2 linked regions of the Macaca fascicularis genome follow. The protein of the gene in region 1 purifies or fractionates together with the protein of each later gene. This does not show direct contact. Links are inferred from orthologs where the notes say so. Each region holds a gene or a part of one and is shown on either strand. Other genes may lie near its edges.

What was found.
Region 2: the proteins of BRD8 (region 1) and JAZF1 purify together in Homo sapiens (affinity purification with mass spectrometry; 3 studies listed by BioGRID and IntAct, with this or other methods). This does not show direct contact. The link is inferred for Macaca fascicularis from reciprocal best matches to the Homo sapiens genes BRD8 and JAZF1.

Annotation. Positions count from the first base shown.
Region 1 is NC_088380.1:144,648,358-144,664,115, forward strand, and holds part of BRD8 (bromodomain-containing protein 8), read right to left. Parts: intron 15,086-15,758; coding exon 14,958-15,085; intron 14,377-14,957; coding exon 14,307-14,376; intron 13,663-14,306; coding exon 13,613-13,662; intron 13,431-13,612; coding exon 13,308-13,430; intron 13,184-13,307; coding exon 13,103-13,183; intron 12,683-13,102; coding exon 12,618-12,682; intron 11,628-12,617; coding exon 11,491-11,627; intron 10,971-11,490; coding exon 10,752-10,970; intron 10,361-10,751; coding exon 10,216-10,360; intron 9,052-10,215; coding exon 8,842-9,051; intron 8,439-8,841; coding exon 8,158-8,438; intron 7,515-8,157; coding exon 7,062-7,514; intron 6,762-7,061; coding exon 6,668-6,761; intron 6,482-6,667; coding exon 6,435-6,481; intron 5,696-6,434; coding exon 5,481-5,695; intron 4,464-5,480; coding exon 4,371-4,463; intron 4,182-4,370; coding exon 4,113-4,181; intron 3,409-4,112; coding exon 3,231-3,408; intron 2,513-3,230; coding exon 2,408-2,512; intron 1,936-2,407; coding exon 1,891-1,935; and 2 more. UniProt on the Homo sapiens protein: May act as a coactivator during transcriptional activation by hormone-activated nuclear receptors (NR). Isoform 2 stimulates transcriptional activation by AR/DHTR, ESR1/NR3A1, RXRA/NR2B1 and THRB/ERBA2.
Region 2 is NC_088377.1:102,084,323-102,100,535, forward strand, and holds the start of JAZF1 (juxtaposed with another zinc finger protein 1), read left to right. Parts: upstream 1-6,520; 5' UTR 6,521-6,738; coding exon 6,739-6,853; intron 6,854-16,213. UniProt on the Homo sapiens protein: Acts as a transcriptional corepressor of orphan nuclear receptor NR2C2. Inhibits expression of the gluconeogenesis enzyme PCK2 through inhibition of NR2C2 activity.

The sequences.
Region 1 (15,758 bases):
AGAAAGGCCTTTCCTGCAGACTGACCCTGGCACTAGTTCCCTAGCACCTCCTGACAGTGGTTTTCCATGAGATCAGGATAATTAGAAGGCTTCTTTCCATCTGCTGCTCTCTCCCTGCAGCCCAGCTCCTTCCTCTTGTGCAATATTTTGCTGTCTTCAATAGATAAAAGATCCCATTAACCAGCCTTGCAATAGCCAGCCAAATGCTTTGCTTGGGGGATCCAGAGTCACTGTTGTAGGCCAATAAGAAAGAACGGAGATTATAATGTTCTGTCTGTGGTACAGCCTGTAGGCAAGATGAATTACTGAAACCTTTGCTGGGCCAGGCCATTTTTACATCTCTAATATGCAAGGACTCTAAAATTTTTAGAGTCCATGAACATAAGTTGCCCATGAGGCAACAGTGAAAATAAAAAGGTGGTAATCTTGCATGTGTATAATGCTTTTTCTTTTTTTTCCCAGCCACTTTCATATCTATTATCTCATTTTATCCTCACAACATCCCTGTGAGGTAGGCTGGACAAGTACCTCATTATATTAGCTTCATCACACACCAAGGAAAACAATGCCCCAAGAGATTATCCAGTGACCTTAAGACCATGTAGTTTTCTAGCCTGATGCCCTTCCATTACATCATACCTCACTGTCCCATAATGAACAACACAGAGTAAGAGCCAGTTATTTATGGAGGAAAGTAATAAAAGTCTTTAGGCTAGCTCTCCTAAGCTTATCTGTAATTCCAGCAGCCACTACTGATGCAGTGGTCACTTTCTTTTTTTATCTTTTTTTTGTATGAGACAGAGTTTCGCTCTTGTTGCCCAGGCTGGAGTACAATGGTGCGATCTCAGCTCAGGGCAACCTCTGCCTCCTGGGTTCAAGCGATTCTCCTGCCTCAGCCTCCCAAGTAGCTGGGATTACAGGCGTGTGCCACCACGCCCAGCTAATTTTGTATTTTTTTTAGTAGAGACAGAGTTTTTCCATGTTGGTCAGGCTGGTCTCGAACTCCCGACCTCAGGTGATCAGCCCACCTCAGCCTCCCAAAGTGCTGGGACTACAGGTGTGAGCTACCGCACCCGGTCGCAGTGGTCATTATTACTGAGATTTTTTTTTTCTTTGGAGACAAGGTCTCGTTCTGTCACCCAGGCTGGAGTGCAGTGGTATGAACAGTGCAGCCTTGACCTCCTGGGCCCAAGTGACGCTCCTACCTTAGCCTTCTGAGTAGCTGGTAGTTGGGGACCACAGGTGCGCACCACTCTGCTGCACAGCTAGTAGGGTTTTTTGTTGTTGTTGCCGTTTTTAAATTTTGTAGAGACATGGTTTCCCTATGTTGCCCAAGCTGGTCTCAAACTCCTGGGCTCAAGTAATCCTTCTACCTCAGCCTCCCAAAGTGTTGGAGTTATAGACGTAAACCACCATACCCAGCCTATACTGAGTTCTTTAGCTTAAATTTTACTAAGTGTTTGTTACATTCATCTTGCAACTTAATTTTAGGAGACAAGAGAAAAACTATGTGCTGAGTACTACCATTATGAGGAACACTGTTAAAAAACCAGCTAGCAGCTCCTGCTCTGACCAATTTTAAATTTGTTAAGAAAAGAATTGGTAAAAGGTGAAGTCGGGAAATGATGAGCCGGTACATCCTAGATCCTTTACTCCTAGAATACATTTCAGCCCAGTGATCTCAAAAACAGTCCCTACCCGGCCCACACACACACACATGCAGAAAGACAGAAATGCAGAAGAAAAGAGTTTCTTATTCAATGACCTGAATAAACAGAAGTTCAAGACACTGCCACGGTCTGCATGTTGGATTTCCCTCTGCCACCCACCCCCATTAAGAGCTGAGAATCTTTGTGGCAACACCACCCCTCGCAGCCATTCAATACTTACAAAGAGAGAGAGAAGGAAGGCAGGAGAGCCCATTGGGACACTGTCCTGTTAGAGGACAAACAAACACTGATCAGGTTCCACAGAAACTCTCAGCCACAAGCACCCCAAACCTCAGGACAGAGACACAAGCACCACACACACAAGGACAAAATTTAAAAACTCAAGAACAAGAGGAAAGAGATCCAAAAGCAATCTGGCCATTACGCCTCTAGAACAGAAACTGCTGGTCCCCAACTGCTGCAGGCTAAGCCATTTCCCCCGCCTTGACAGCACTCTCCCAGAGGAATTAACAATTCCCCTACTCACGATTTCTTCCATGTGACTGGGTCTTTCGGTTACAACAGGCTTATTCAATGTTTAGATGGGTGCGAACAACCACCATTCTAAGATCTATGTGTCTGTATATTATTGGAATCTAGAAGCCCAACAGTACCAAGTAGTAACATAAGGTTCCTTGGATACTTCAGACTTCTACTACTGGAACACTGGCACACAGGTTCCTTCCTGGTCACCTCACCTTCTCTGAAGCATCCTGTTTGCGAGTAGAATCTCTCCCTCGAAGACTTTTAGCACTGATCCCAGACTCGGATGTTTGCATAATCAACTGCGTGGCCAAGAATTGCTGTAGGGAGAAGAAATAGGGTAGGCCATGGAGACCTGATTTAGTAGAGACAAATCAAGTACACTTTAAGCACTGTAAATAGAACTTTGTACAGTACTCTTCTGGCTCAAATATATTTTGACTGACTGGAAGTTTAGCCTATTAAGTTTTAATTCTAGTTGCAATAGGGATGCTAAGGGATGCTAAGAATCTTTTTTTGCTATAACATAGGATCAAATCTCTATCCTCCAGGAATGAGAAAAAGAATAAAACTGGAATGATCCAAAGATCATTCAGCAATTTAAGTAATTTGACAGATCGTGCGAAGATTTGCAACATTCTTCCAAGTTCAACACCCCAAAAAGTACCTGGTAATGCAATCACAGGATAAAAGTAGGGAAAAGGAAAGGAGAAACTCTTATTTGCTGAGCATCTACTATGTACCAGGTACTTGATGTAATTAAAAAATATGCATTCACCAGTTTTTAAAAAATTTATTTAAAAACTTTATGAAACTGCAATTAATTGCCCAAGAAAGGTAGAATATTGTATCACAACTCTTTCACCACACCACAGAAAATAAAAATAAATTCCGCAAGAACAAAATATTACGTTTTCAATGTGTCCCTGATAGCTATCCAAGTAAAAGCCACAGCAATCCTTCTTGGCATCAATATGAATCCTCCCCTTGAGTATTTTAATTTCATCCTTGCTGAAACACAAAAGATCCTCAAAGTACCTGGATCTGTTCCAAGACATCTCTCTGCATCTCCACTGCCATGTGATAGACATCATGGTCTGAGCTATTGTACATTACAGCATTCTGAAACATTAGCATAATGTCACGCTGAAATTCAGCTGTGCTTCGGATCAGTCCATTTTCTATGTTTTTCTTAATAGTTGACAAATCCATAGGCCTAAAAAAAAGAACAGGGGTAAGTGGCAGTGTGGGTGGGAAGAGGACTCATCTAGATCTCTGAATACATTATCATCATACAGACTTTCTCATATATACCTTAATTTGCAGCTGCCAGGACTTAAATGCTAACCCCTTACCCCGAAACATGCACTTAACCCATTTAACAATCTATATAATAAGCATTGAGAAAGGTAATAAAGGGAGTTTGTGTGTTTTTTTTTTTTTTTTTTGGAGACAGGGCCTGGCTCTGTCACTCAGGCTGTAGTGCAGTGGCACAATCATGGTTCATTGCAGCCTCGAACTTCCAGGCTCAAGCAATCCTTCCCACCTCAGCCTCCCAGGTAGTTGGGACTACAAATGCGCGACACCACACCTGGCTAAGTTTTGTATTTTTTATAGAGAGGGGGTTTCGCCATGTTGCCCAGGCTAGTTTTGAATTCCTGGGCTCAAGTGATTCACCCACCTCAGCACCCTCAAAGTGCTGGGATTACAGGCGTGAGCCACCACTCCCGGTGAGGATTTATTCTTTTAGACTATCAGTGGTGATCCAGCCACTGGAATCATCAGTTTAGTACTTAGTGCCCCTTATAGCAAAACCATAAATTTACTTGCTTTAAACTTTCTATCTAAAGCAAAACTTTCACTAAGACTGGACAACTTATAATTCAGGCAAGTTACCATGCTGAGTGGATCATGGCTCACCTCTGCACAATGCTGTGGTAGCCAGGTGCTATGTCATCTGTAACAGGCTGCAGGAAGACATTGGCATACCTGTCCAAAAGGAATAAGGTGCAATTACTGACATTCTCCAGAAGAACAGGGAGAGAACTTACTCTAAGTAGCTGAAGATAGTAAGAACCAATACCAGCAGTTCCACAGAAGCCTACTCAGACTTTTTTCCAGTCACCAACAATGAAGAGTAAGAGAAAATGAACCTACTGACTGATAAAGCCCACTCACCTATGATTAGCTGCAGCTCTCCATACAAGCATGATGGCTTTCTTCCAAATTTTCTGTGCCTGAATAGCTTCCTGATCCTCGCTACAGACAGAGCTGAAACAGAGATACAGCAATTTCACTAGGCACAAGTTAAAAAATATATATATATATATAAAAAATTATCTCTTTTTTTTAGAGACAGGGTCTCACTCTGTCCCCCAGGCTGGAGTGCAGTGGCGTGATCATGTTCACTGCACCCTCAACCTCCCAGACTCAATCCTCTCACCTCAGCCTCCCAAGTAGCTGGGACTGTAGGTGCATACCACCATGCCCAGCTAATTTTTTAATTTTTTTGTAGAGATAGGGTCTCACTGTGTTGCCCAGGCTGGTCTCGAAGTCCTGGGTTCCAGCGATCCTCCTGCCTTAGCCTCCTAAAGTGTTGGGATTACAGGTGTGAGCCACCATGCCCAGCCCTAATAATTTTTGTCAACTGTTTATTCCAGGCCAAAAAAGGGAAACACTAAAGAAAAGATCAGGCCAGGCATTGTGGCTCATGCCTCTAATTCTAGTGCTTTGGGATGTCAAGGCAAGAAGACTGCTTGAGGTCAGGAGTTCAAGACCAGACTGGACCACATAGGGAGATTCTGTCTCTTAAAAGAACATCTTTTAAAAACAAAAATTTAAAAATAAAGAAAAAGACCACGTATGGTGGCTCATGCCTGTAATCTCAGCACTTTGGGAGGCCGAGGCAACTGTTGAGCTCAGGAGTTTGAGAACAGCCTGGGTAAAATGGCAAAACTTGGTCTCTACTAAAAAAAATTTTTTTAATTAGTAGGGTGTGGTGGTGCAGGCCAGTAGTCCCAGCTACTAAGGAGGCTGAGGTGAAAGGATTGCTTGGGCCTGAGAAGTGGAGGTTGCAGTGAGCTGAGATCGCGCCACTGCCCTCCAGCATGGGTGAGTGAGAACAACAAAGGAAGGAAGGAAAGAAAGAAAGAAGGAGAGAAGAGAGGAGGGGAGGGGAGGGGAGGGGAGGGGAGGGGAGGGGAGGGGAGGGGAGGGGAGGGGAAGAAAAGATCCTCTCCTTCTCACCTTCACTGCCTTAGCCTCAAAGGAAGAATCTCAGATACTCACAACTGTGAAGAAGCAGGGCTGCTGGGGATGGAGTCTGCCAGCGTGTGTGACTGCAGTGTAGCATTGTGTATGCTGAAGCCATCATCACTCTCGCTCACAGGAGGTTCATTATCCATTTCTGACAAATAACCTTCTCCTTGATCCTCTTCCTTAGGCTCCTCTAGGCTGGCCGCTTCACTGACACCATCTTCCTCCTCATCCTCACCTGGGGCATCCTTAGACACAGTATGCTCCAGTCAATAAATGCAAGCAAAGCTATCCAGCAAAGCATCATTAAACATGCTCTGTCTTTTGGGTTAGAATTAGTTCTAGAAATGACCTCACGCTGTTTCCTGACTTAGCTGTCTATCACTTATACTACCATCTACTTAAAGACACTGACTTAAGTAATTTAGAACCTGGACAAAGAATAATACCCAGGATCTTTTAAAAAGAAAGAAAAAAAAAGCTACTTACTTAAGACTAAGCTAAGAGGCGTTCCTTCTTTCCCCTTGTTCAAGAGTAACTCTGACCCTGGATACAAAGTTATCAAAAATAATTTTTATTTTGTGTCTCATCTGATGGAGCAAGCTCACATCGCATTCTTTAAGTCTCTGTTACTACTGCTTTAATAATTCTAAAAAGAAAACTTTGGATGATTTTCTTTGGATAGTCTAATTAATAAACTGGATTCCTGTATGTTCTCCTTAGTTCTGGTATCCTTATTCACTCCAAATCACTCTAAGTGTATCAAGGCTTCTTAAGGACTGTGATATTCACAAGCTGTTTCATATGGGAGGCACCTGTTGCTACAGTACTCCCATTATGCCTGTCTACTGCAGCTTTTCCCCACGCAACTCCATACCAGTCTCTTATCAGAGAATAAAAATGCGACTTTACTGAAATTCATTAAAAAGTAGTGCTATAGGGAAATCTAATCACATGGCAAGAGGAATAAAGAAAAGTCTGAAATACCTTTATCTGGCTTCCAAAAATAGTCCCTGATTCTTCTTTCAATGAGTCTGCAGAGGAGAGAAAGACTACCTGAAGATTTTTCCACCTTAGCCTTCCCCTTCCTATGGACCATAATCCCCTGCAGCTCTCCTTTCCATGCTGACCTGTTCTACCTCCTCTACTTGCCCACAACCCACAATCCCTCAGAAGCCAAAGCAAATGATTTCAAGTTAGTTAAAGAGGACTTTATTTACCTGACATTTCGAACTTGTGCTGAGTCTCTGCTTCTAAAGGATCTTCAATGGGATTTGAGCCATGTGATGGAGACAACATGCTTTCAGGGGATGCCTGAAAACCAGAAAAGAAAAAACACCCTAAGTACTGGTAAATCACTATAGCTCACACAACTTTATTCTTCAATGATAATGAGACCATAGAAGAAATTCTAAGTCCTATTCATGTAATGTGACTCCAATGGTCACCTTAACAGGAATAAGTATATATAACACTAATCACAGCCTATGGGCTTTGGACCATCAAACATGTCAGAACTCAGGAATGCAACTGGAAAACCAAAAAACCTAAGCTATCACTTCTTACTTAAGGTATAACCCTCCATCTCCCCAGCCCCTGATCTTTATTAAGTACCTCTGTCTTCACATTTGTAAGTGGAGTCTCATCGCCTTTCCCAATGGCAACATCTGCTTCAACAATCTCTCCAGTTGCAGTACTTCCCGGTTCCTCATCTAAGTCCTGACTCCTGAGTTCTGGTGGCTCCATACTTGTGGCTGGAACAACTCCAGCTACTATTTCAGCCCCTGAAATGACTGATTCTGGTTCTGCAGGTTCCACCTTGATCTCTGCACTGGGCTCCCTGATGTCCACCAGTTCATGTATTCCCTTGTTTTCAGTTTCCTCAAAGTCCAGTCTCTCTTGCTTGACTGTCATTTCTGGTGCAGGGAGAGGTACTGGCTTGTCCCGCTCCTGCTGGATAGGATGCTCCCAGGGGCCAGGCAGGGATTGAGGATCATCATTTTCTTCACAAAATGACAGTGCTGCTTCCACTGCTGCCACATCCAGCACTTCAGGATGATCATCTACCTGTCCCACAAAACACAAGACTATTGAGGTCACAGAAAGAAGCTCAAGTCCCTCAATTTTTGTTAGCACCAAATGTGATGGCTTGAATCTGCAGCTTTTCTCTCCATTTTTTCCATGTAGTGGAGACAAACAATGAACAGGCACCTGTTCTGTGTAAACCAGTAACATAGATAGGCCTGGGGAGATGACTAGTATGTTAGCACCAAAGGGCTACAAAGATGGAGATAGGCAGAGTTAAGTAATTCTTACTGTAAGAAGTAAAGAGGCCAAGCACGGTGGCTCATGCCTGTAACCTCAGCACTTTGGGAGGCCGAGGTGGGTGGATCACTTGATGCCGGGAGCTTGAGACCAGCCTGGCCAACATGGCAAAACTCATCTCTACTAAAAATGCAAAAAATTAGTGAGGCGTGGTGGCACGTGCCTGTAGTCCCAGCTACTCAGGAGGTTGAGGCACAAGAATTACCTCTGGGAGGCAGAGGTAACAGTGAACCAACATCGTGCCACTGCACTTCAGCCTGGATGACAGAGCAAGACTTTGTCTCTTAAAAAAAAAAAAAAAAAAAACAGCAGCAGCAAAGTGAGGCTGAAGAGAGAAGCCTATGTAGGACCCATGAGATTCTCTGGGGCTTCACTGAATAGTTACCTTGTCCTCAATGATGGCAATGATGTCTCCAACAGTCTCAAAATCCAGCTCTTCACCTGTGTAAGACACAGCAATATCCATCTTCTCAGCCAGATCTAATTCTTCCTTCCCATCTATGCTGGGTGCCTTTGATCCAACAGGGGCCTCTGCTACCCCTGATCGAAAACACTCTTCTTTGATAGAATTAATGATCATGGAGATTTCACTGCTGTCCATGGAAACAGTCACAGTATGTGGATCCCCCACAGCCTCCATGGGAACACAGTTATCGGGCTGACTTACTGAATAATAGAAAGAGAAAAGCCATCTCAGAAGCTTATTGGGTACAAAGTGACCACCTTGAGATCACATCAGCGCTATAGACAGATGTCAAATATCCAAACACTTAAGATCAGAAAGTCATCATACATGTGCCTATGTTTTCTTCTCCCCAGTTTTATCTAGAAAGGTGAGAACATAATCTCAAGCCTGCTCACATTTGTACACTTAGCGTCTTCCTGCAATACATAAATGCCCACCCACCTCTTCTCACATCTAAGGATATTTATTTCTAAGGATAAAGATGGCACATGTCTATGTAGAACACAGAAGCAGCATCTGAATTGGAGCCGATGCTCTTGGTCATTTTTCTCTAACTGAAGCTCAAAATGAAATTTTAGACCTTGTGGCTGCTCAGGGACGCACCTGGAGCTACACTTTCAGTAGTGGAGACAGCCGGAGCAGAGGATGGTGCTGGCAGCGCAGGCATCATGACAATGGTAGCTTGGGACACAGACTCTACAGGGGGTGGCACAAGTTTAACTGGAGGCTCACTGGCAACAGTAGTGAAGGAAGCAAGAGGTGTGGTGAACTGTGTAGGACCAGCTTCTAAAAGCCGGGAAAGAGTGGGAGCACCTAACATATAAAGAGGTACACAAAATGAAGTAAGAAGAAAGCACATAAACAAGAAGCAATAGCTACTTGAAGACTCAACTAAGAAAATTCTTTTGGTCTCAAAGGATGAGAGCAACTCCTGCACTGAGTAAGTTCATCATCTATATCCTTACCCTCTCTAACCTTACTTAAGATCTTCCTCCAAGTTAGGAATGAACCAAAGCACTAGAACACACAACATATATAAAAAATGGGTGGTGAGGCCAGATGCAGTGGCTCACGCCTGTAATGCAAGCACTTTGGGAAGCTAAGGCAGGTGGGTCACTTGCGGTCAAGAGGTTGAGACCAGCATGGGCAACATAGTAAAACCCTGCCTCTACTAAAAATACAAAAATACAAAAAAAAAATTAGCCAGGTGTGGTGGCGGGCGCTGTAATCCCAGCTACTCAGGAGGCTGAGGGAGGAGAACTGCTTGAACCCTTGAACCAGGGAGGTGGAGATTGCAGGGAGCCAAGATCATGCCACCGCACTCCAGGTTGGGCGACAGAGCAAGGCTCTGTCTCCAAAAAAAAAAAAAAAAAGGTGGTAATTCTTCCTCAGAGGAAAATTAATCATCAAGAAACAAAAAACTGGTATGAATAAATCTGTCACTTCTGCTGAAGTTCAGCATATTGTAAAACCACCCAAGTTTAACACCATTCAAATACCAATAAGGTTTGTATGGTATTCTATGGAGCTTTTTTTCCTTCCCTGCTTTATACTTTCTACCTCATTAAATTCTCATCACATCCTTGTGAAGTATATATGTTACAATAAAAAAGGAAACTGAGGCTCAAAAGCTAAGTTACCTATCCAAGGTCACAAAACCAATGTGTGGCAGGCCTTATTCCACTATTCTATAATCTTAGGTATCTCTAGCACCTTGATTTTGCAAGCTCTAAGAAAGCAGCTCAATATTACTCTCAATATCCATGCAGTGGTCAATCAGGGCTATCAGTATCTTGAAGACAGATGGCTTTATAATATGGAGACTACATTGTTTACCAGGTAAAGTAGCTCCAAAAAAAAGTTAGAAAAAGTTGGGCTTTAAATCTAGGACTGACAACTGCTTAGTAACAAACAGTGAAACTGAGTCAATGTCAAGTTCAACACCTCTGAGGTTGTAAAGGAAAAGTGGTAACTTACCTGACGCAGCAGGGGAGGCTGCAACAGTATTGGGTGTTTGCTGTATCTCCCCACCATGTATCATGGGAAGGACCCCGCCTACCTCCAGGAGGACACCTGTACTGTTCAGGTGGCCAGAAGCCACAGCCATTTCACTCTCATTGACCTACCAGGGAAGAATAGAGGTGAAGGCTACACTCAAGCTTTCCTTTACTACCATTTCCCAACAAAGCTCCAGCAGTTGATCAAACTTCATGAGAACTAATAGTTAATATCCACGGAGAATAATTTAAGACTCAAGGGAAACTCTAAACTATAATGTTCAAAACTTATCTGACAAGAGTTCTCTGGAGAAGAGAACCAAAATAATTGTGATTCAGATACCTCAGGACCCATGGGTACTATCAACTTACTGTATTTTTTAAAAATTAACATTTAATTAGGAGATCTTTTCCTCTTTTGAACTTTTATTCCCCATGTCACATTTTAGGTCCCAGGCACTCCCTTCCAAGTACTAAATCACCACAGCTCTCAAACACCCACAGAAGTCTCCATACCAGTCTGGGGCTAGTAGGCAGGAGGCTGCCCTTCTTCAAGAGCTCTGACAGCAGAGGGGAGGGGGGTGGAGTTGCTTTCTGTCCAAGCATCTTTTTCTGGGGTGAATCATCTGTTACTGGGGTCATGGGGGCTTCTAAGGGTGCAGAGCCTGGAGGAAGGGTGTCAGGAATCCCAGGAAACGAGGTGACTGGGGTACTCGGCAAAGTCCCGGGGGTTACCTAAGAGACAACAGAGAACCTTTATCTGACTTCTCAAACTATGGAAGGTTCCCTACTAATCTGTATGGGTTAGTGTGTCTAACTATTATTTTATTAGTCCTGAGTGGAACTGCCCAGAAACCCTCTATCCCTCCTGCTTTTAGCCATACGTTTCTTCCCCACAATCTTCTCCTTCATCCACTCAAACCCACAATGACTCAACCATCCCACCCAACCTGCCTTTTATGAACTCCAATATTACATTTACAAGGATTTTGTCCCTTATTTCGCAGGAATTTCATAAGACTAGTATGAAACAATTCCTTAAAATAGTTTTTTACCTATCTCTCAGAAAGGTCAAAAGCCTCAATGCTTTTAGGTCCGGTCTTATCTCAGAGCACAGAACAGGGTAAATTAAGTCTTTAGCATTCAGATCAAGAGAGGAAGCTGCCTCTAGGCCAAAAGTGGTTTCCTCATCACTCAGCTCTGCCGGCTTATTGCCCCTTCACTTATCAATTCCCACAGAAGGAAATATACTCACCCCAGAGGTAGCCTCTTCCATAGTGGTTGGAGTCAAGTCCCCAAGTGGATAATCACCTCCTGGGGAGGCAGAATCTATAGGAGAGCGAACCATCACAGTGGGTAACCTCCGGGGGGGTGTTTTTACTGCTTGACGAGCTAGAACATAAAAAAGAACAATGTCCAAATCTTCAAGATTAAATAAATGACACTTGACACTATTCTACTATTATACAATAAAGGACAAATAGGAATGCTGCATTAGTAAAGCAACACAATGAGTCTGAATTAGAAAGCTTTAACACTTCTGGAGATGGATAACTTTTTAGCATAATTTTTCCTAAGGGCAATTTTCACACTAAGCAATCTCCTTTAACAATCTCAAACTACTTAATTATCCCAAAGGTCCTTGGAGTGGGAAAGTAGTTTAAACACCCTTTAAAATTCTCTTTAGCAACTTATTAATATTCTGCTTTTAAGAACAGGGAGGCTGGGTACGGCGGCTCACGGCCATAATCCCAGCACTTTGGGAGGCCAAGGCAGGTGGATCACCTGAGGTCAGGAGTTTGAGGCCAGCCTGCAAAACCCTATCTCTACTAAAAATACAAAAATTAGCCAGGCGTGGTGGCAGGCACCTGTAATGCCAGCTACGCGGGAGGCTGAAGCAGGAGAATCGCTTCAACCTGGGAGGCGGAGGTTGCAGTGACCCAAGATCACACCACTGCACTCCAGCCTGCACAGCAAGAGCAAAACTCAGCCTGGGGGAAAAACAAAAACAAAAACAGGCAAAGACCTCACTGGCTCACAGCATGTATTCCTAGAGTTGTAAATACTTAAATTTTTCCCCTCATCCAATGACTGAGCTATTCTCAATCTTTTCACAGGCCCTTGACTTCTAAAACATTATGTTGAATATCTTCTTATCAAGCCTTTGTGTCCTAAAGTTAATTTAAGGTCTAGTGAGATCTGAAAACAACTCATATTCTATGAGTTTCTTCTTAGACATTAAGGGATGTTTTTATTCTGGTAGAAGAGAAAACTGCAAGTAAATTTAAATCAATGGATTCTATGTTACAAAATAGTCCAACTGTCATTAGCATGCAGTACTGTGCAATTAATTGCTAAACAGCTATACTAGGTCCAGCTTACCCTGATATGCAGCATCTGTAGCCTTCCTCTTTACTTCAGCCTCCTCTTCTTCCAATTTCTTTTTCCTAAACAGGGAATTAACGGTTGGATGCTAGACAGCTCTGGCTCCTCCCCAGAGTTCACAGAACCCTTACAAAGAAATTTTTTTGCCAGGCCAGCACTTTCTGGAAGAAAGGCCTAATCAGGAATTCTAACCAGCAAAACAGGGAACTGGAGTATAGTGCCTAACTCACAGTTCTTCACCTAGGTAAACTATAGCCACTTTAAAGTTAGAACTAAGTTATGTTTTCATACTGAAATGTTCCATCACATTACCTTCTAGGACTCACTCCCCACTCCCAGCCACCAAGCCACTCTGCGCTTTCCCCTTCCAGAATCTGTCTGAAGTCTAAATGAATGGCAGTTGTAGGAAATAAGCCAGATTACTTGAGTAGAAAAGAGGGTAAAAAGAAAGAGGCACAGAAGAACAATATAATATAACCCACATTGCAATGTCATTGCAAAGCTCATCCAGTCTGCTGTCCATGTGTCCAGCTTGAATTAGTTCTGCATCTCTTTTTAGCCGTCTATAGGAAGAAAGAGAGGTAGGTAGACTAGGTTTTTTAATCTGCTATTTAAAAAGTTCCAACCAGTACCAGAAGACAGCCCCTATGTCTTTCTCAATCTTTTGGCATTCTCTTTGATAAGTACCTATATCTCTCCTGAGTTTCCTTTATCACTTTCTTTAGTTCCTCAACTCTCTCAGCAGTCAGTTTCCGAACAATGACATCTTCAACAGTTTCCACCACTTCTCCCTTTTCACCTCGTTTCCGTCTGTGGAAAATTGGAAAAAAAAAAAAAAAATTCATATTCGAGTAAGAGAACATTTATCCCCTCTCCTACTTGCTTTTACCACTTTTATATCACCCAGTATTATAAGTAAGTATAAACCAGAATTCCTCAGTAAATACTCTCCACTAAAGAAATTTGGCTGAAGTACCTGGCTTTGTACTCACTTTGGTGTCTCAGTGGTCTCTAAAAGCTCCGAGTATTGGGAAGCACAATGCTATAAAAAAAGTGAAAATATGATGAGCAAGCCTGGAAAGAAATGACCTTTCAAAGTTTCAAGAGATTAGAGTAAGATTTAGAGAAGAGAACTATATGTAAGATGGGAGTGGTTTACTAGGAGGGCAAGTAACTTTATAATCAAATCAGTTCAAAATAATCAAAACAAGACACAGAAAAAGGGCGTCTTATGGACTGGAGTTTGTGCATTTGGGGAAAGGCAACCTAACTGCCAATATTTATAGCTAATATCTACTAAGTAGTTACCACATGCAAGGCACTGTGTTAAATGTTTTACATGTATTACCTGAATTAACTTCACAACAAACCTGAAGCAACTCTTATCTCTATTTTACAAATGAAAAAACAGAGGATCATGGCCCAAAGTTTTTAGATGCAGTAATAATGAACCCAGATCTAATTCCCAAGCTTGGGCTCTTAACTGTTATGCAACACCAATAAGAAAGGTCTAATATGATCATACATGGATGGATTAGCAAACAGTAGGAAAAAGAAAAAGGTGTATTCTCAACTATTTTTCCACATCATGGTATAAAAGCTTTGTAATTAAAAGTCAGGGCCTGGTAGAGAACCTACTTTACAACCCAAAGACTGCTCTAAAAGAGCACTTGCTTGGGAACTTACTTTTTGAGAGAACCAGTCTGGAGGGCGGCCAGGTTCTGCAAAGGGCTTGATTGCTCTGCTAACTGATACCCTACAAAATGAGGAAAGCTTTATTACACATCAAGCAGTAAATAATAGGAGAGGTGTGCTGAAAGTGTAAGGCCTGGAGTTCAAACTTTGGAATAAAAAAGATGCCAATGGCCAGGCGCGGTAGCTCACGCCTGTCATCCCAGCACTTTGGGAGGCCAAGATGGGTGGATCACAAGGTCAGGAGATCGAGACCATCCTGGCCAACATGGTGAAACCCCATCTCTACTAAAAATACAAAAATTAGTTGGGCATGGTGGCAAGCACCTGCAGTCCCAGCTACTCAGGAGGCTGAGGCAGGAGAATCTCTTGAACACGGGGGGGCGGAGGTCACAGTGAGCCAAGATCTCGCCACTGCACTCCAGCCTAGGGACAGAGTGAGACTCTGTCTCAAAAAGAAGGAGGAAAAAAAAAAAAAAAAAGATGCCAATGAATGCGAGGTGTGCAATGGGCCGTGCGTATAATCCCAGCACTCTGGCAGGCAGAGGTGAGAGGATAGCTTGAGCCCAGGAGTTCAAGCCACCCAAGGAGACCCCATCTCTACAAAAAAAAAAAAAAAAATTGACAAGGTGTGGTGGTGCGTACCTGCAGCCTGTGGTCTCAGTTACTTGGGCAGCTGAGGTGGGAGGATCCCTTGAGCCCAGAAGAGGCTGCAGTGAGCCCAATTCATGCCACTGCACTCCAGCCTGGGTGACAGAGTGAGACCACCCCCTCTGCCATTCAAAAAAAAGAACAGCATGTATAGTATATAATCATTTGTGTTAAAAAATGACGGGGATGAGGAGGAAAAAGAAAGTATTTATTTGCTCACATAAAATTAATGCTGGAGAGACACAAGAAACTGCTAACACCAGTAGATGGGGGACAATAATGCGAGCAAGCCATTGCATATAATTTTGAACCTTATGACTTAGAATCTGCTGATAAAATAATAAAATTTAAAAATTTTTACTAAAGTATTCTTACACTATTTTTCTATGACTGGGCGTGGTGACTCAGGCCTGTAATCACAACGCTTCAGGAGGTTGAGGAGGGCAGATTGCTTGAGATGAGGAGCTTGAGACCAGCCTGGCCAACATGGTGAAACCCCATCTCTACTAAAAATACAAAAATTAGCCAGGCATGGTGGCGTGCACCTTTAATCACAGCTACTCGGGAGGCTGAGCTAGGACAATCGCTTAAATCCAGGAGGTGGAGGTTGCAGTGAGCTGAGATTGTGCCACTGCATTCCAACCTGGCTGACACAGCAAGACTCCATCTCAAAAAACAAAACAAAAAAAAGGATTCTTAACACTATCTAATAAAAATGTGAGGAAATATACAGATTAAATTCTATTTTAAACCAGTTTACCTATTTTGTTTAAAAATGAGCTTAGTTTATATATA
Region 2 (16,213 bases), on another chromosome or scaffold:
CAGTTAACAAAAGGAGAGCTAGTGTCAGATCTCATGTCATGACTGAACGGCTCCCTGCTTCTCTCTGTCCAGTTGAATGGCTTTGCGTCAGCAGAGACTAGGAAACCAGCATCATCAAAATAAATGAGACAAGCAGTTTGTAAGTGCCTGTTATTGGCACAGCACAGTCATTGCACTAGACCTTAGAAAGAGGTCTCGTCAAAAGTGGATCCACAATCACAGGAAGGAATGACTTGTAATCTATCCAAGCTAAGAGACTAAAGATTCTTTCCTTGATGCTACATAAGAGAAGAACAGTAACAAATTGTTAGAAATAACTTTAACATTGAAAACTGAAATCTTAGCACACTGCCTTATCACAGTGCTGAACTATACTTCCACACAACTTTTATTGAGCAGTGCAGGCCTAAAGATAGTTTCTCTTTGGGAGGCTGAGGTGGGCAGATCATGAAGTCAGGAGATCGAGACCATCCTGGCTAACACGGTGAAACCCCGTCTCTACTAAAAATACAAAAAATTAGGGAGGTATGATGGCACGCGCCTGTAGTCTCAGCTACTCGGGAGGCTGAGGCAGAAGAATTGCTTGAACCCAGGAGGCGGAGGTTGCGGTGAGCTGAGATCGTGCCACTGCACTCCAGTCTGGGCAACAGAGTGAGACTCCAGAAAAAAGAAAAAAAAAAAAGTTTCTTTCCTCAAGGAGGCTACCATCAAGTGCAGAGGCCTCCAAGGAGGAATACATTTACCCCAGGATGTGGGCCAGGCAATACTCTGCAGTATAGTATGAAGATACCAGGCCTTCTATTCCTACGTTTAAAAAAGAGTTTATTTCATAATATACATACTACATTTGGTTTTTGGTTTAGAGAGAGAATCTCGCTCTGTAGCCCAGGCTGGAGTGCAGAGGTGTGATCATAGCTCAGTGTAACCTTGAACTTCTGGGTTCAAGTTATTCCCCCCTTGCCTCAGCCTCCTGAATAGCCAGGATTACAGGGGTATACCACCATACCCAACTAATTTTTTAATTTTTTGCAGACATAGGGTCTTGCTATATTGACCAGGCTAGTCTCAAACCCCTGGCTTCTAATGTCCTCCCACCTCAGCCTCCCAAAGTGTTGGGATTACAGGCGTGAGTCACTGTGTCTAGCCTATAATATACATACGATATGTGAAAAGTAGCTCCTGTATATAATTTATAAATAAATATAAATATTAATGAGATCAAGTGGATTCTTGATCAAAAGGTTTGAGAACTACTGGTACACAGGAGATGGAAGACCAGTAAGCCAGCAGTCAGAATCTGATGCAGAGGGAATTTGGCTAGAACACAGATGATAGGCATCCAGCTCAGCAGGGAAGGAAGAGGAGGCAGTTATAGGGAAGGCTTCCTGGAGGAGATTACATGCTGAATTGCTGCAGTATATTCGGGGGAGGGAATGGGGAAGAGGGAAAAAGAATGTTCCAGGCAGGCTACACAACATTTGCAAAGAAAGGCAAGGTGGCTTTTGTGTGAACAAGTGAATGCATTTTGAAAACTAAAATGGCAGCATGCAGTGGCTCACGCCTGTAATCCCAGTACTTTGGGAGGCCAAGGCGGGTGGATCGCTTGAGCCCAGAATTTGAGACTGGCCTGGGCAAATGGCGAAACTCCATCTCTACAAAAAATACAAAAAATTTGCTGGGCATGGTGGCATGCACCTGTAATCCCAGCTACTCAGGAGGCCGAAGTGGGAGGATTGCTTGAATCCAGGAAGTTGAGGCTGCAGTGAGCCGTGATCGTGCCACTGTACTCCAGCCTGGGCAACAGAGTAAGATCTTATCTCAAAAAAAAAAAAAGAAGAAGAAGAAAGAAAACGAAAATGATTTGGTACATCTTGAACTGTCAGTACGCGTGGGAAAACTGTAGGAGGTAAGGCTGGGATCAAATTTTTCTGCAGAGATCAATTTTGGTCATTGAAAAGTAGGAAGCTTATTCTGGTAGTGAAAGTTACCACTAAGACATTCTAGCAGGGGAGATGAGATCATGGAGTAGTATTCCCAATTTGATCTTCTAGTCCAATCTCCATTGATACTTGTCTGAGTCCTAGAGGAAACGGACTGCAATAGTGTGAGCTGGTAAAACCTCAAAAAGCTACAACAAAAAAGGTGCTAGTAGCCTTTGAAGTTATAGAAATCCTCAAGACTGTGCATTGCTGTGTGAGAATCAGTGATGCCTAAAAACACATCTTTGGGCAAAAACGGTTGTGCAGTCTTTTACAAGCATTAGTGGCCTTAGTGCCTCCAATACAGTCAGCAGCAACTGAAGTTATCATCTGAGTGAGCCAAAGCTGGAAAGAAGGGAAATAATAGATACTAGAGCAGCCAAGAGGGTAGTACACGGAGTCCAACCAAGCCACCCCTAGCAGACCCTTAGAATAGATTGAGGAGGACCTTGCAAAGCACCTAGTGCTCTCTCATGTGAGGACAGACTGGGCTTGTCTCATTCAAATTGTATCCCTCATATCTTGCATGGTGGAACAGCACTGCAAGGCTGCACAGATCCCAGGGTCACTGTTCATGCAGTTGCCTATATAAATAGAGCTTTCTGGAGTTGTGTAACAGGAGCCTTGCATAGATGTTCAATCAAGATAGGTTAAAGGCAAAAATGAAATAGTAATTGCTTAGCTGCTTTTGTTAACATTATTCTAAATCTCAGGTTGGGCTGGCCTGAGCAGCAGTGGCTCCCATCAGATTTGGGTTTGGAGTTATCATCTGGATAGCAGTGTAGCACATAACGTAGGGGAATGCATCCAAGACGCTCAATTAGAACTGCAGTGATTGGTGGTGTGTTTTACTATTTTAGTTCTGGAAAAGTCCTAAAAGGAACTGGAAATAAATGCCATAACTACGTATACAGTCAGTAGGCAGGAGGAGCCAGGTGGCGAGCTAGGGGCTAACACTCATGAGGTCGCTGGTGGCAACTAACGAGAATACCCCCATTACTCATTCTAAGGCTAGCTCTTAATCCTAGGCAAAATGAGACTGGGGGACAAAATGAAAATTAATCAGCAGAGAGCAGATAAAGCTGATTCATTTCTGAGCTGGAATAAAATCAATACAGAGAACTTGGTTGCATAAATATTAAACAATAAAACCTGGAATAGACATCATCCTCCTTAGAAGAAGATGGAGCCTAAAGAAGGCATGCCATTGAGCCCAAGGTTGCTGTTGGTGGAAGTGGCAGCCTTAGTATTCAAGAGCCGGGGAACATCAGACATTGTAAGTGTCCACAGACTTGCATGAGCTGAAGAAGACCGAGATTCATGATCTGCTCATTCGACACAGTGGTGACAACAGAAGAAATATCTAGTAAACCTGAATAGCACCTCAAGAGGGACCTGGAAAACAATCTAAAAAGCCAGAGAAAGCTAGAGTTGAAGGCAGTATAGAGTTAGATTCAAGATAGAATCTAATGTTCATATAGATCCTCTTGCATCGTTAACAGATGTCCACACAGGACACAGGAAGTGCACGGTTTTGATTATCAGTGTATGCCAAAATAAACCAATTCCTGCATGTGGAGGACAGACAGCTGTATGAAGCAGGATCCTCAGTGTCTTCAGTTGGCTCCATTAGACCAGTGGATTCACATCTTCCAGCAGCTGCCCCATCTCGAGGGCACTGGACATGCTGGATTTGGAGAGACTGTTATGGGATCTCAAACCATTTGTAATGCTAAGTACCACACTGTGGGGCCACTGCACATCCATACTTTGTGCCTACACATTGGGAGGCACTAGGCTCTGGGGAGAGACACATGTTTTCAAGGAAGGCTCTTAAACCCAGAGAATGCTTCTTGTCTACAGCCACTGTCATATCATTCTGACTTCTCAGTTCCCTCACTGTCCCTCTCCTTTCAAATATTTTTACTTCCCAAATCAGACAGATAAATGTTTTTTGCAAGTACAGAGGTATGTCAGTCATCACCTTCTCTCTCGGATGCAATAAGTTGAATTGTTTGTTTTATATATTTTTGTAGCTTAGATGTTGACTTTATCTAAAGGAGTATCCTTGAAACAAACACTTTAAAAATGTAAGTACAGAAAGGTAAGCATGCTATTAGCAATTTTTTAAAAACTTTGCATGTGGTTACTATCTATATATTTGTCCTTCTATTGTTTATCAATGCCTTCTAAATGCACCACGAGTACAGAGAAAAAACTGTGTGCACCTGGGAGAACTTGCTTGATGCCCCTGGCGTCAGTTTACCACATTTACAAAACCAGTGGTTCTGACAGCCAGAGCATCTTCCAGATCTAAGAGATCATAATCATGTATCTTATACAAAGACCAGAAATGCCTAGAGTATACAGATTTTTAAAAACTAGTATAAGCAGAATGACACATAAACAAAGCTTCAGTCATATATGAAGAAGTAGTAGGGTGGATTATTTTCAGGCAAAATGAACTGATTCCTTATAAAATAGTAATAATTATCCAAGGTAGAGAAAATAATTTTGTCTTAAAAATCAAAATCTTGATTTACTTCGGAAGTTATTTTAGCTCACTTCATTTAAAAAAAAAATCTATTTTTTCAATTTGGTCTAGCAAGGTTTTATTTTAGGAATAGTGAAACTGACAGGAGGTAGTAGAAAGCCATGCATTAGTGAAACCCAGGCCCCTTACTTCCTTCATCTTTCACCTGCACATTTCCGGCACTTTCCATCTTGGAACTTTGTTGCCTGAACCACCTCTCCACACTCTTGGGAGTTAATAACTCCATATAGACAATTTTTCCTCCGGAGGACAGAATTGCTACTTCTTGAAAGCTATTGGGGCTCCCAGATGCTGCACAGTGGGGGTGCCTCACACTCATCTCTAAGAGTAGCTGTTTTGGCACCATTTTTGGCTGAAGTTTTTGTATTGCATTTCCATGTCATTCGGTGTGATGTGTGCCTGCCAGATATTCTGCCTGCTCTCAGTTGAAGGCCTTCCCAGATTGGGCAGCTGAATGTACTGCACAGCTGCCAAAATTCTAATTCAAGATCTAGAATTCTAACTCCTGCTCTTTAGACCCTTGTCTGGCCTTGGCCTCAGTCCCCTGCCAACTGGGTCCCTGGCTCATTATCAGGCCCACCAGGGCCCTGCCCCCTCCCTCATTGGGACCACGAAACCATTCTTGGCACCAAACTGAACTTCAAGACACAGCTGCCCCAGCCCCACCCAAGCCAAATCTCATCTCAGCAAAAGTTTGTCACCTTGTAAGCTGCAAGACAGAAGAGATGAGAAGAGAAAATGATACCCGTGATGGTCAGATCATAAAACTTCCTGTAGCAACAGACATATTACATGTACCTTTACTCTAAGAACTTGCATGAAAAGCAAACAATCCCATTATTAGAAATAACACTAGATAGGGATGCATAGAGTTTATGGAGGGAGGAATACTATTTCTCCATTTATCTGCACCAGAGGGTAAGTGAAATTTGCGGTAAGGAAAAATACTAAATTCAGTATGCACATATTAATATTAATAAAAAATGTACTGTTGGGTCATAAACTGCTGATAATGTGTAGTATTTCTTAGGCACCTGAAAACTGCTATGGCAAATAGACACTTTACAGCAGAAATATGACTGCAACTGGAGGAGGGGGTGGGGACCAGAAAGTAATTGATAATCAGCAAAATGCTGGTTTTCAGGGAAGCTACTAAATTCAACTTAAGTGGTTACCTGGTCAACATTATGGTTTAAATGCTCACAGGATGAAATCGCTTCCTTTTTAAATAAGAGTCACCATTTCCCTCGCCGTTGTTTCCATTCCTTCTAGCCTTAACCAATGCACCGTCCTTTCTGCCGTGGCTGAAACGAGGTTGGGTTAATTACCACACCTGAGATGGTGGAGTGGGTGCAGTGGGGTGCTGTAATTTCGGGTGATTAAATTATTTTAGCTTTTGTTTTCCTAGAAGGAGCAGGGAGTATAAAAAACGTGGTACATATGTAAAACACAGGCAAATGCACTTGACAACCAAGCACTCTATTTTGAAATTTAAATAAAGCTAAGATTTTCTTCTGGCCTAGAGGGAAGCTTCATTAAAATCAATTAGTACAAACCTCCGGAGAATGCAGACTTTTTCTAAAGAAGGTTTAAAGAAGAAGGTGCACACAATTACCTTTCCCGGGTCCCCTGTGAATGTGTCACACCTAGACAGGTGGCTGAGTACAAAAAAATGTCCCCGAGAGGGGCCAGGGTAACTCCCTGAGTTCTCCTCGCAGGAAGGTAGGTGTAATTAATCCATGTGGGTGCATTAAGAACGTCATATACATAACCAAGGAGGCTCCAAACAGATGGCACGGATCGCAAGCTGTAAAGGGCAGGCCTAGCGAGATAAAGTTGGTGGCAGGGCTCGCAGGTGAGGCCTGGGTCCGGGCGCTGAGGTTGGGGCCGCACAGCTGTAGCCGCGCGCCCTGGTCCCTCCTCCCAGCTGCGGCGGCCTCCCCCCCGCCCCCGCCCCCGCCCTCCCCGCGCCGCTCCCGACGCCGCCGCCGCAGCCGCCGCCTCCCCTCTGCCTCCCGGTGGCTCCTTGCTCTCCTTCCATCTCTCTCGCCCCCTCTCCCTCCGTCCCGTCCTCGCCGCTCCCCTCACCCCGCCTCTCTCCCCCTCCCCCAGCCCCTCCTCTCCTCACCCCACCCGGCCTCCCTCCCTCCCTCGCCCGCCCGGCGCTCGCAGAGCCGACACCAGGGGGGCTCTCGATGTAGCACCATGACAGGCATCGCCGCCGCCTCCTTCTTCTCCAATACCTGCCGATTCGGGGGCTGCGGACTCCACTTCCCCACCCTGGCCGACCTCATCGAGCACATCGAGGACAACCACATCGGTAAATGGCCCGGGGGTGGGCGGAGGTGCCAGGCGCGCGGAAACTCCTGCCTGGGCGGGGAGCCCCGGAATGGCCAGGGGTGGCCCGCAGGGAGGGAGGCAGTGGGCCGGGGAGGGCGCGTGCGAGCCCCGAGGTGGGGGTGGCGGGATGCGGGGACGCGAGGTGCCGGGGGGGGCGGGGAGCGGTCTGGGGTGGGGGAGGGGGCGGGCGCCCCGAGGTGCCGCGGGCGGGCGGGCTGGCGGCTGGGGGACTCAGGGGCGTGCACGCGGGCTGCGAAGTGGTGGGAGCGGGGAGCGCCGCGGCGGGCCGGCGGGGGGTGCGGCGGCGGGGCCGAGCGCCGGCTCGCGGGGCGCGGGGCGGAGGGCGCGGCGGGCGGCGGGCGCTGGGCGCTGGGCAGGGGCGCGGAGTTAGTTGGCCCGGGTGGTCGGAGCAGCCCGAGGCGCTGAGGGCAGCGGGGGGCGGGCGCTGCACGCCGCCGGGCGCTTCCGCCCCGGCTCGAGCTGTCAGGGCTCGGCGGCGGCTGCAGCCGCTGGGAGGTGGAGCGGGGGGGCGGGGGTGGCTCCACCGCGGCAGCCATTCCGCTTCCTCCTCCCGCCGCCGCCGCCGCCGCCACTGCGTCCTGTCAGCGCCGGTTGCTAGGTGTGGTGCATCGGGAGGGGGCCGGGGCCGGCGGCCGCGGGCGGGGGCCCGGGCGCTTGCCCTCTCTCTGGGAGGCGGCCGAGCGACCCGGGCGGGGCCGGGGACGCGGGCCCGGGGGCTCTGGGTGCCCTCCCGTGCCCCGGCCTGGCGCGGACGCCCGGGCGCTGCGGGCTGAGGTCTTGGGTGCGCCCGCGGGCCGCGCCCAGCGCCCCGGGGTCGACGCGCCCTGGAGGCCCTTGCGGCAGCGTCCGCTGGAGAGTCACCCCACCCCCCGGGCCCATGGCCGGGGATTTAAATGCACCCCGGCTCTGCGATTTGCCTTTCTAATGGTGCTAGGCCCGAGGTGCGCTGGCTGCACCCTGGGACCGGCGGCGGCCTGCGCAGTGCCCCGGGCCCGGGGGACGCCGGGGAGAGGGCGCCCCGCGGGGTGGCTACTTTCCCTTCACGCCTGGACCCCTGGACCTTTCAACAAATCCTCTGATTTGCAGAAGTCCTTGCACACATTTTCACACTTCTATTCGGAACCGCTGCTAAGGGAGGTGGGCCGGGTGCATCTGGCTCAGGCGGTCCAACCACCTGCGGAAGGTGTGGTCGACGCCAGCGAATTGTCCTGCGTGGGCTGGAAGGTGAAGGGTCCGAGCGGTGTCCCAATGGGGCTGTCTAATCCAGAGAACCTGTAAATTGCCCCCAGGAAGTCCAAATGAATGCCATGGATTCAGCCATGTGGATGCAGCTCACGTTTCTACAAAGTTGAGAGAATAAATCACGACCGCTGTGTATTTATGCAGGAATAAAATGAGGCAGAACCCTATGCTCCTTTGCTTAGTATAGTGCTGTCTCTGCACACAGTGGGTGCTTAATAAGTGTTGAATGCCTGTTTAGAATGTGATTTGATGGGCCATCCGGAATAGGAGATAATCATGGGAAACGTCTACAAAATGTCTTTCAGAAGAAAATTCTGTTGAGTAATTGTCCACGTTTTGAAACTTTTCAAGTTTTCAGGTGTCCTTGTAATAGCTTCTTCCATTTCCTCTGCTAAAGGTGTGACAGAAGAGCTGGGCAAGTTTTGGTAGTCTTAAAAGCAGTTTAATGGAGCAAGAAATTTGCTGATTCATATCATGATTGAATAGTCATTACTGAAAGTGCTTTAAAGTATTAAATCAGATTTTTCATGATGGCTAGTTTAAAATAAAGCGAAAACACCAGTACTGTGAAGTTCTGGTAGAAATGTTACTAGTTTAAGTTCTTCCCCTTACTCCCAATAATAAGTAAAAAATAAGAAATATAAATAATGCTATAAATTCATATGTATGATATAAGTAATATAAATAAATAATATCTCTTGACTTAAGGAAGGCTGTCATTGCATATCCCATTCATTCTCGCTAACAGTTATTTCAGAATAAACTGTAATTTATGTAAGCTGAGTAATAATTTTACCCCATTGCCTGCCTACTTAGACAAGCTGGTTAAAAGACAGTATAAATTCTATTTATTAAGATGTGTTAAAGACAGTTATCCTTCTTGAGGAGTTTGTATGAGATGGTCTAAAACTTGGTGAGTCATGAGGTTTTTTTAAGTGTAGAAATTGTCCTAATATTTTGCACACATTTTTTTAAGAAGGTTAAGAGTTCGATACATTTTCTAAAACTCAACTTTGAAGTAATGCTATCTCATTCCCAGAAGGCTAGTGTTGTCCTTTTAATAGTGAAAATATGAAAAAATTAAGTTTACAGCAATAGCAGTGACCTAGGCGAACTGTGTCGCAGGGCTAACACAGTTGAAAATAGTTTGAACCAGCAAACTTTATGAAAAGCAAATGTTAAAATGAATGAACACTTGCAATTCCCAGGATGAAGAGGCTCAAACTATTATACACCTCTGCTGGGGAGAGGCCCTTTACTATCAAAGGCAGCCCTATATGCAGAAAGAAGTAAGAATTGATCTTAAGAAAGAATAAAAATATCCCGATTCGTAGATAGTGTCATAATACACTTTTGATGAAGAGACATGGGTGAAAATATAAAGCATTTAGTGAAAGTTCTAGACTGGTATTGTTATGTGGTATTTATCGTTTGTAATTCAATCTATAAGAGTTTGGAGACTGTTATTTTTAATGATTGACTTACTGATTTCATATCTGTTGGTGAGTGGTTACATTAAAAAGATTCAGGAAAAAAATAAGAGATGTGTTATTTTGCTTTTAATTTGTTAAGCAGTCTTGTTATTTAGCAACCATGAGTATTAGAGATATGCTTAGGCGAGCGTTCCATTTTGGGGGCCTATCTGGGTTATTACCTTTAGCCGCTAGTAAAAACCCTTAAACAGCGATAAAATGAACATTTATGGGAATGTGGTGTGTTTCTTGCTTGGCAGATTTTTCAAGGCCTGTATTTTTCATTATCAAAGTATTATGTTTAGTTTGGATTAATTAAGCACATTAAGTTGAGAATAACTCTCTGTTATCTTATACGTGTATGCTTAACTTTTGTTTTTAACTATTTTCCTCTCCCCATAATGAACAAGGATTTGGGGCTTTGGCACCAAGGGAAGTGTGATTTTCACCATCCACTGTTTTAGCTCTTTTCCCTCCTGGAAGGGTGCTGTACTGGTATTCCTGTTTTCTTTCTTGCATTTCACTGCTGGTTCAGTACTGGAGTACCTGTCTCAGTGTACACACTGAATATCCTAGCTAAAACTGTCCCCCATTCCCACTTAAATTTAAATTGCCTAGAAATCCCATAGCCCTGCAACTGTGAAGTGCTTCTCCATCAATTTTGTTATCAATTCATTCATAGGTCTGGGTCTGTTACATGGAGGTGGGAAAAGCAGGTCCGGATTTGCTTGCTTCTTATTTTGAGTAGGTATTTGAGTTTGTAGAAACACTCTTGGTATGAACATCCTAGATAGATGAAGTTAAACTGGTAACCGGGAATCTTAGAAACACCAGAAGCACTAAATTTAGCACTGAAGGTCATGCCCCAGGCCCATGAAATGCCTGCTGCAATCCTGCATCCCAGTGCTGTGAAATCGTATGACTTTTCGTCTCAGAAACACAACTGTTGAATCATTCTTATTTATTTGGTGCATTTTTAGAAGTACCTCTGCATTTTGAATTTATTTATGTAATAATATATTGAGTCCCTGCTTTATGCCAGGCAAAGTTATGAGCACTTGATATTTTTTGGTTTACCAAATGAAGATACCACTCTAGGAAGTTTATATTCTAGGGTAGGGGGCCGGACAATAAACAATTGAAGTATGTGATATACAGTATGTTGGGAGGTGGTTAATGATACAGAAAAGAGAAAAACTAGAGCAGGGTCTGGAGGGTTGGGAGGAGAAGGTATTGGAATTTTAAATAGATTGGTCAGGGTGGGCCTTGCCGAGAGGCTGATATGGGAGACAAAACCTCGAAGGAGGTGTGAGAGTTAGCCGTGAGGACATTCCGGGAGCCAGCAGTGCACAGGCCCCAAGGCAGGACTGCACCACTTGAATAGAAACACAGGAATCTGACCCAATTCAGTTATTCGTGTGATAGTACCAGACTAGCAGGTCATTCAGAACTCTCCTCAGATGTTAGGACTCTCAGCTTTGCTATTGAAAGAGATTTCCCTGCAAGGGCCCAGTTAAGGGGCAGAGTCTCACTGACCAAGAATGGCTTGCATTAGCTATAACTTGGTTCTTAACTCCAAATATCAACAGGTTTCTTGTTGTGAGTCTCTACTTGTTAGTTTCCTCATCTCCAAAACCCAGGTAATAAAGCTATAGTGCTTCATTTCATAGTATAGATTTATAAACCATCTAATTAATAAAGGTCAAAGTTTCCGGAAAGAAAAATCAGGCCACTTACTATCAAAAATATAGAATTTAGCTCCTAAGATGATTTAGTAAATATTTGCATTATCTTCTCAAAGGAGCACCACAGTGTACTAAATAGATAAGTCATACAGTCTGTCATTGGCCCTTATTACTCCCACTTTTAGGTGAGCAAACTAAGGAACAGTTTATAATTGCCTAAGCTTTCGTGGCTGGTTTGTATGATTTGGAGATTTGAATTCCAGACAGGTATGCAAAGCTGAGCCTATGCCAGTTGCCAATTAGGTGAAGAACTCGACAGTCCCCTCCTCACCTCCCCTCACACGATTGGTCTGTGTTTCCTCCTTTAGAAAGTAACTGAACTCCACATGAAGGTCATCTGAGCAGTGGCATAGTGAACCCAGACTGCTTGGGGTTGAACACACATGTCTGCCACTTGTCAGCCGTATGACCAGGGACAAATTAACCGTACTGTGCCTCCTCTGTAAAATGAGGATAGTAGCAGCACCCATCTCACGGAGTGGTTAATGAGGATTAAGTGAGATAATATATGTGAAGTATTTATCTACAATAATAAGTTGTCTACGTCATGTAGTTTCTTGCCATTTGTGTATCTGCTAAATAAATATGTAATCCTACTGTTAAAGTCTACCTTCGAGATTAACATGGGTTGTATCCACCTATTTGTGGTATTGTTTTGGGCATTTTATAACTGTGTGACATCATTGGGTTCTTCCTGGGAAGGACTGACAACGGGAAATAGGAGACCCCTCAACAATCTAGCGGTAGTATTGCAGCCTCTGGCCACGTTCTCTTTTGTGTGGCCAGAGGCACTTTATACCCTGGCAGAGGCATTTGCCACAGTGGACTGGGAAAGTGGTGTTAAAGCCAGCGGCCTCCAACATGGCCTTTCCTTGTGGCCTGAATTTATTTGAAAAAATCCAGGACTAGAAAGAGGCACTGTGCCTTGGGCCTGTGGGTGCATTCCCTTGAGAACACTTCCTGTGGGGAGAAGGAATGACTGAATGAACAAATGAATGAATGAAAGGCTTGTTGCTGTCTGCCCTGTTCTCTGCCTGCACCCTGTGGCTTGGCGGCAAGATCTCACTGTTACTCCCAGGGTTCCCGAGAAGCCCCCAGGTGTAGTGCTAGGAGAAATTTTAAATGCATGTGCATACACACACACACACACACACGCACACACACCCACACACACCATAGGCAGGATAAGGGAACCCGAAATCTGAAACTTCATGGCAGTCTCCAAAACTCTGTCTTCACTGGTTTTTGCATAAGCCTCTTCTCACCTGTAAACAGTCAGATCATCCTTCAGAAAACATCACTGTTGAACATCCTGTCTCATAAGTTTCACAAGCTTCTAATTGTTTTCATTTGGTATACACATTTTCTGACATGTGACCGAAATGTACAGACACCAAAACTCTGCATGTAACTGGGTTGACAGAAACCTCCATATTCTTCAGAAAATGGTTTTCTTTAGCGTTCATATATTTCAGAGATATCTCCTACGTTGACAGTTCTGGAAATACAAACTGACAGCTGTTTTGAGAAAACCCAATTCTTCCTGTATATGACAATGAGGACGCCTTAAGGCTGGTACAGGCTGGTGACACTTGATGAGGGGCTTCCCTGGGACTGTTGAGAAGCCAGAGGCCTGGTATTGTAGAGCATTGTTTCTGAATTCCTTAAAAATCTTCCTTTTCTAGTTTTTGCTTCTAGGGCAAGAATCATACATACTCCACATTTCCTTATATTTCTCCACCCCATTCTTACCCCTGCCTTTAGATCTTAACAGTGCAGACGTGTCCTGCATACAAAGAAATACCTGCTGGATTGTAGATACACATTTTGTTTCCATGTTGACCTGGCTAACATATTAAATTGAAAAGTGTTCTTTATTTAGAATCTGTAGATGGGAAACCATAGATGTCAGAAATTCATTATGTGTGTATTTTTTAAAAGTGCCTTTCATTTAATATATTTAATTGGTGTAAAGAAAATTGTATTTTCCCCTCGCTGTAAGCACTGGAACATGGCAGTAGTTTTCACCTACTTTTTTTTTTTTTTTTTAAAGCTAGCTGCGAGCAGGGACCAGATTAGTGGATATCCTCTTTAAGGGTGAAGTCTTTCCAATTGCTCTCAACTTTGGCAGGAGTCAGAGGGACTCTTCTAGGGTCACTAACAATAGACCGTCTGCCCAGCACCAGAGAGCACTGATAGCCCCTGATGGCCATTGTCCCTTGCCCGGCTCACCCACGGGCCTCCCAAGGAAGCACTGTTTATTGCCTGCCAGACTTCAATGGTGACTTTCGCCTGAGATAGACCTCCTTGAAGGGACATGGTCTGGATACCAGGTTAATAACACTGAAAAACTCACCATTTTTTTGGTATTATAGATATAATTGATATATAGAAATAAATATATATTTTAGACACAAAGGCATATAGGATATCTAACACATATATAAATAATACATGTATATGTCTATACACATAGCACATATATGTGTGTATGTATATCCACATGTTTGTATACATATTTATGTGTGTGTATATATACATTTGTATTATACATTTTTCCCTCTCTTTTAAGATCACCATGGATAGTGAAGACAGCCACATATTTTTTAGTATTTCTTATATGTTAGTGCTTAAGACAGTACTTCCTATCTCTAAGGATTTGAAATTTATTTGGAGAGACCAGACATGTACAGACTGAGATAAATGATGAATAATAATAGGGAACACAGAGGCAGATTTATTGTGAAGTTAATGAAGCTCCAGCCCCAGGGCCCCTCACCTGTACAACACATTCCTTGCCATTTTTGAATATATTGCCAGGGCTCACCTAGCACTTTCCAGGCCCCTGGAGGAGCCCTAGCAGTGTATGTAGCTGGGCCTTTGTGAGATCATAACTGGTAAAACTGGAAGAAGATTTTAACAGCAATCACTTAATGTTTTTCTTTCTCATTCTGACTTCCCTGCTCTCACATTTCTGTTTGGGTTCGATGACGTTGGACTTGAAAGTGCTTTTGAGATATAGCTAGAGGGAAGTCAAATTGGGGCCACATTTCGTTTGGGCTTAGTGGGATGTATTTATGCAGTTCACAGTTACCTCTGTGTCAAGTTATCCGTAGCCATCCTAGTGTAGAAATTGCTTCATAGGATCGCCACCCATTGTGCCAGCTCACCTGGGGTCCTTACACAAAGGGAGAGTCAGAGCATTGCAGTGTTAATGGGTACCGTGACATCTGCTGTGGGATGGTTTATGGTGTATGGAGCCAGGTCTGTGGAGAATTCTTTCACTTGTTAGATGTGTAAGATTCTACGTGGAGGATTCAGTTCTTATCTAAGTGTAGTCAGTATGAAAATTCTCTTCTTTTAGGAATATAATATACTATTAGAAATGCACTATTTTTAATGAGAATTCTGTGTTTAAGATTCTTGTTCATTTGACATGAATATGCCTGACACCAAAAATACTGACAACAGACTGGTTAATGAGTATCATTGATAAAAAGAATGTTTAAAGTTAGTCACTACATGAGAAAACTTGAAATGTCCTGGGTTTTTATGACTCATATGTGAAAGAAAATTAAGAGATGTGATTAGAGGTTTGATAACAATCCTAAAAATGTATATGTCATTGCCAATAAAGAACTATAAGGCCAAAAGTAAATTTTCTGAATTATCAATAATTAGGAATAAATTTTGATCACCCATGCTTGAGGGGAGATTGAGTCATCTTTCTGCCCTGTAGAAAATGGTATGAATATAAGTCTTTGTGATATGAGGATTCGTCAGAGTATCCAGCCCAAAAGAAGTATTTATAACAGTGTGTCAGGAAGTTAATTAATACACATACTGGGTTCTTTTCCTGGATTCTGATTTTAGGATGTTTTGGGATTGCAGCTTGTAAAATTTTGTGATTTGTTGTGATTTGTTAATCTCAATAAATAATCACTTTGGTAAACATTTTATAACATTCAATTTTTGTTTTTTTCATAAGAAAAGGCTGAATCTGCAGGCCCACAAAACTTGGGTCTATTCCATGAATTCCCAGTTCGGGAATCATGACTATCTGCCACAGACTGTGCTAAATAATTTTTGTATACTATTTCATTGGCCCTCACAGCAAGCCTGTGAAGTAGACATTACCCCCATCCTATACGTACTGCCTTCTCCTTTGGAGTTAAATATGCTACCATATTAATTAAATACCACACCTAGTGAAATATGAACTAGAGTGTTTGTTTATATTGGTATAAAACAGAAATATTTTCCTTCAGGACAGAAAGCCTCTTTTACCTCAATAAATATCATTATTTTAATAGGTCTTTCCCTTTCTGTCCTGTTGCCCCTGCCCACAGCTGCACCAGCAGGGGTGTGCATTGAACTGTGTGGTCACCTCCTGTGCACTGTTTCCTCCCCCAGAAACTCAGGGTCTTGTCATCATCCTATCCTCCTCCCCAAGACGTGTTTTCAGAAATGGTATGAAAATAAAAATTGAGAAGTACTTTGGGCTGTGAAAAAAATAAATTACAAAGGTAACTTTGGACAGTGAAAAACATCTTTGAAATTAATTTCTGTAGGTTTGCATCTATGAGGGCTGTATATTTATGTGTTTATGGCATTCACACAAATACCAGTTATGCAATTAGTCCACTGTAGTTTATATTAAGGGAATCTGAAAAAGACTTTTTTAAAAGCTGATTTAAAAAGGAAATTGATTTTCCTTGTTAAATTGCCAGGGGTATTTGGTATACAGGAGGCAGAGGCCTGAGTGGTGAGAAGCATGGACTGTGAAGTTACACAGAATTGGATTTTGAATCCTCCTGATCTCACTAACTTGAGCTTTTCAAACCTGAGCAGCTCTTACAG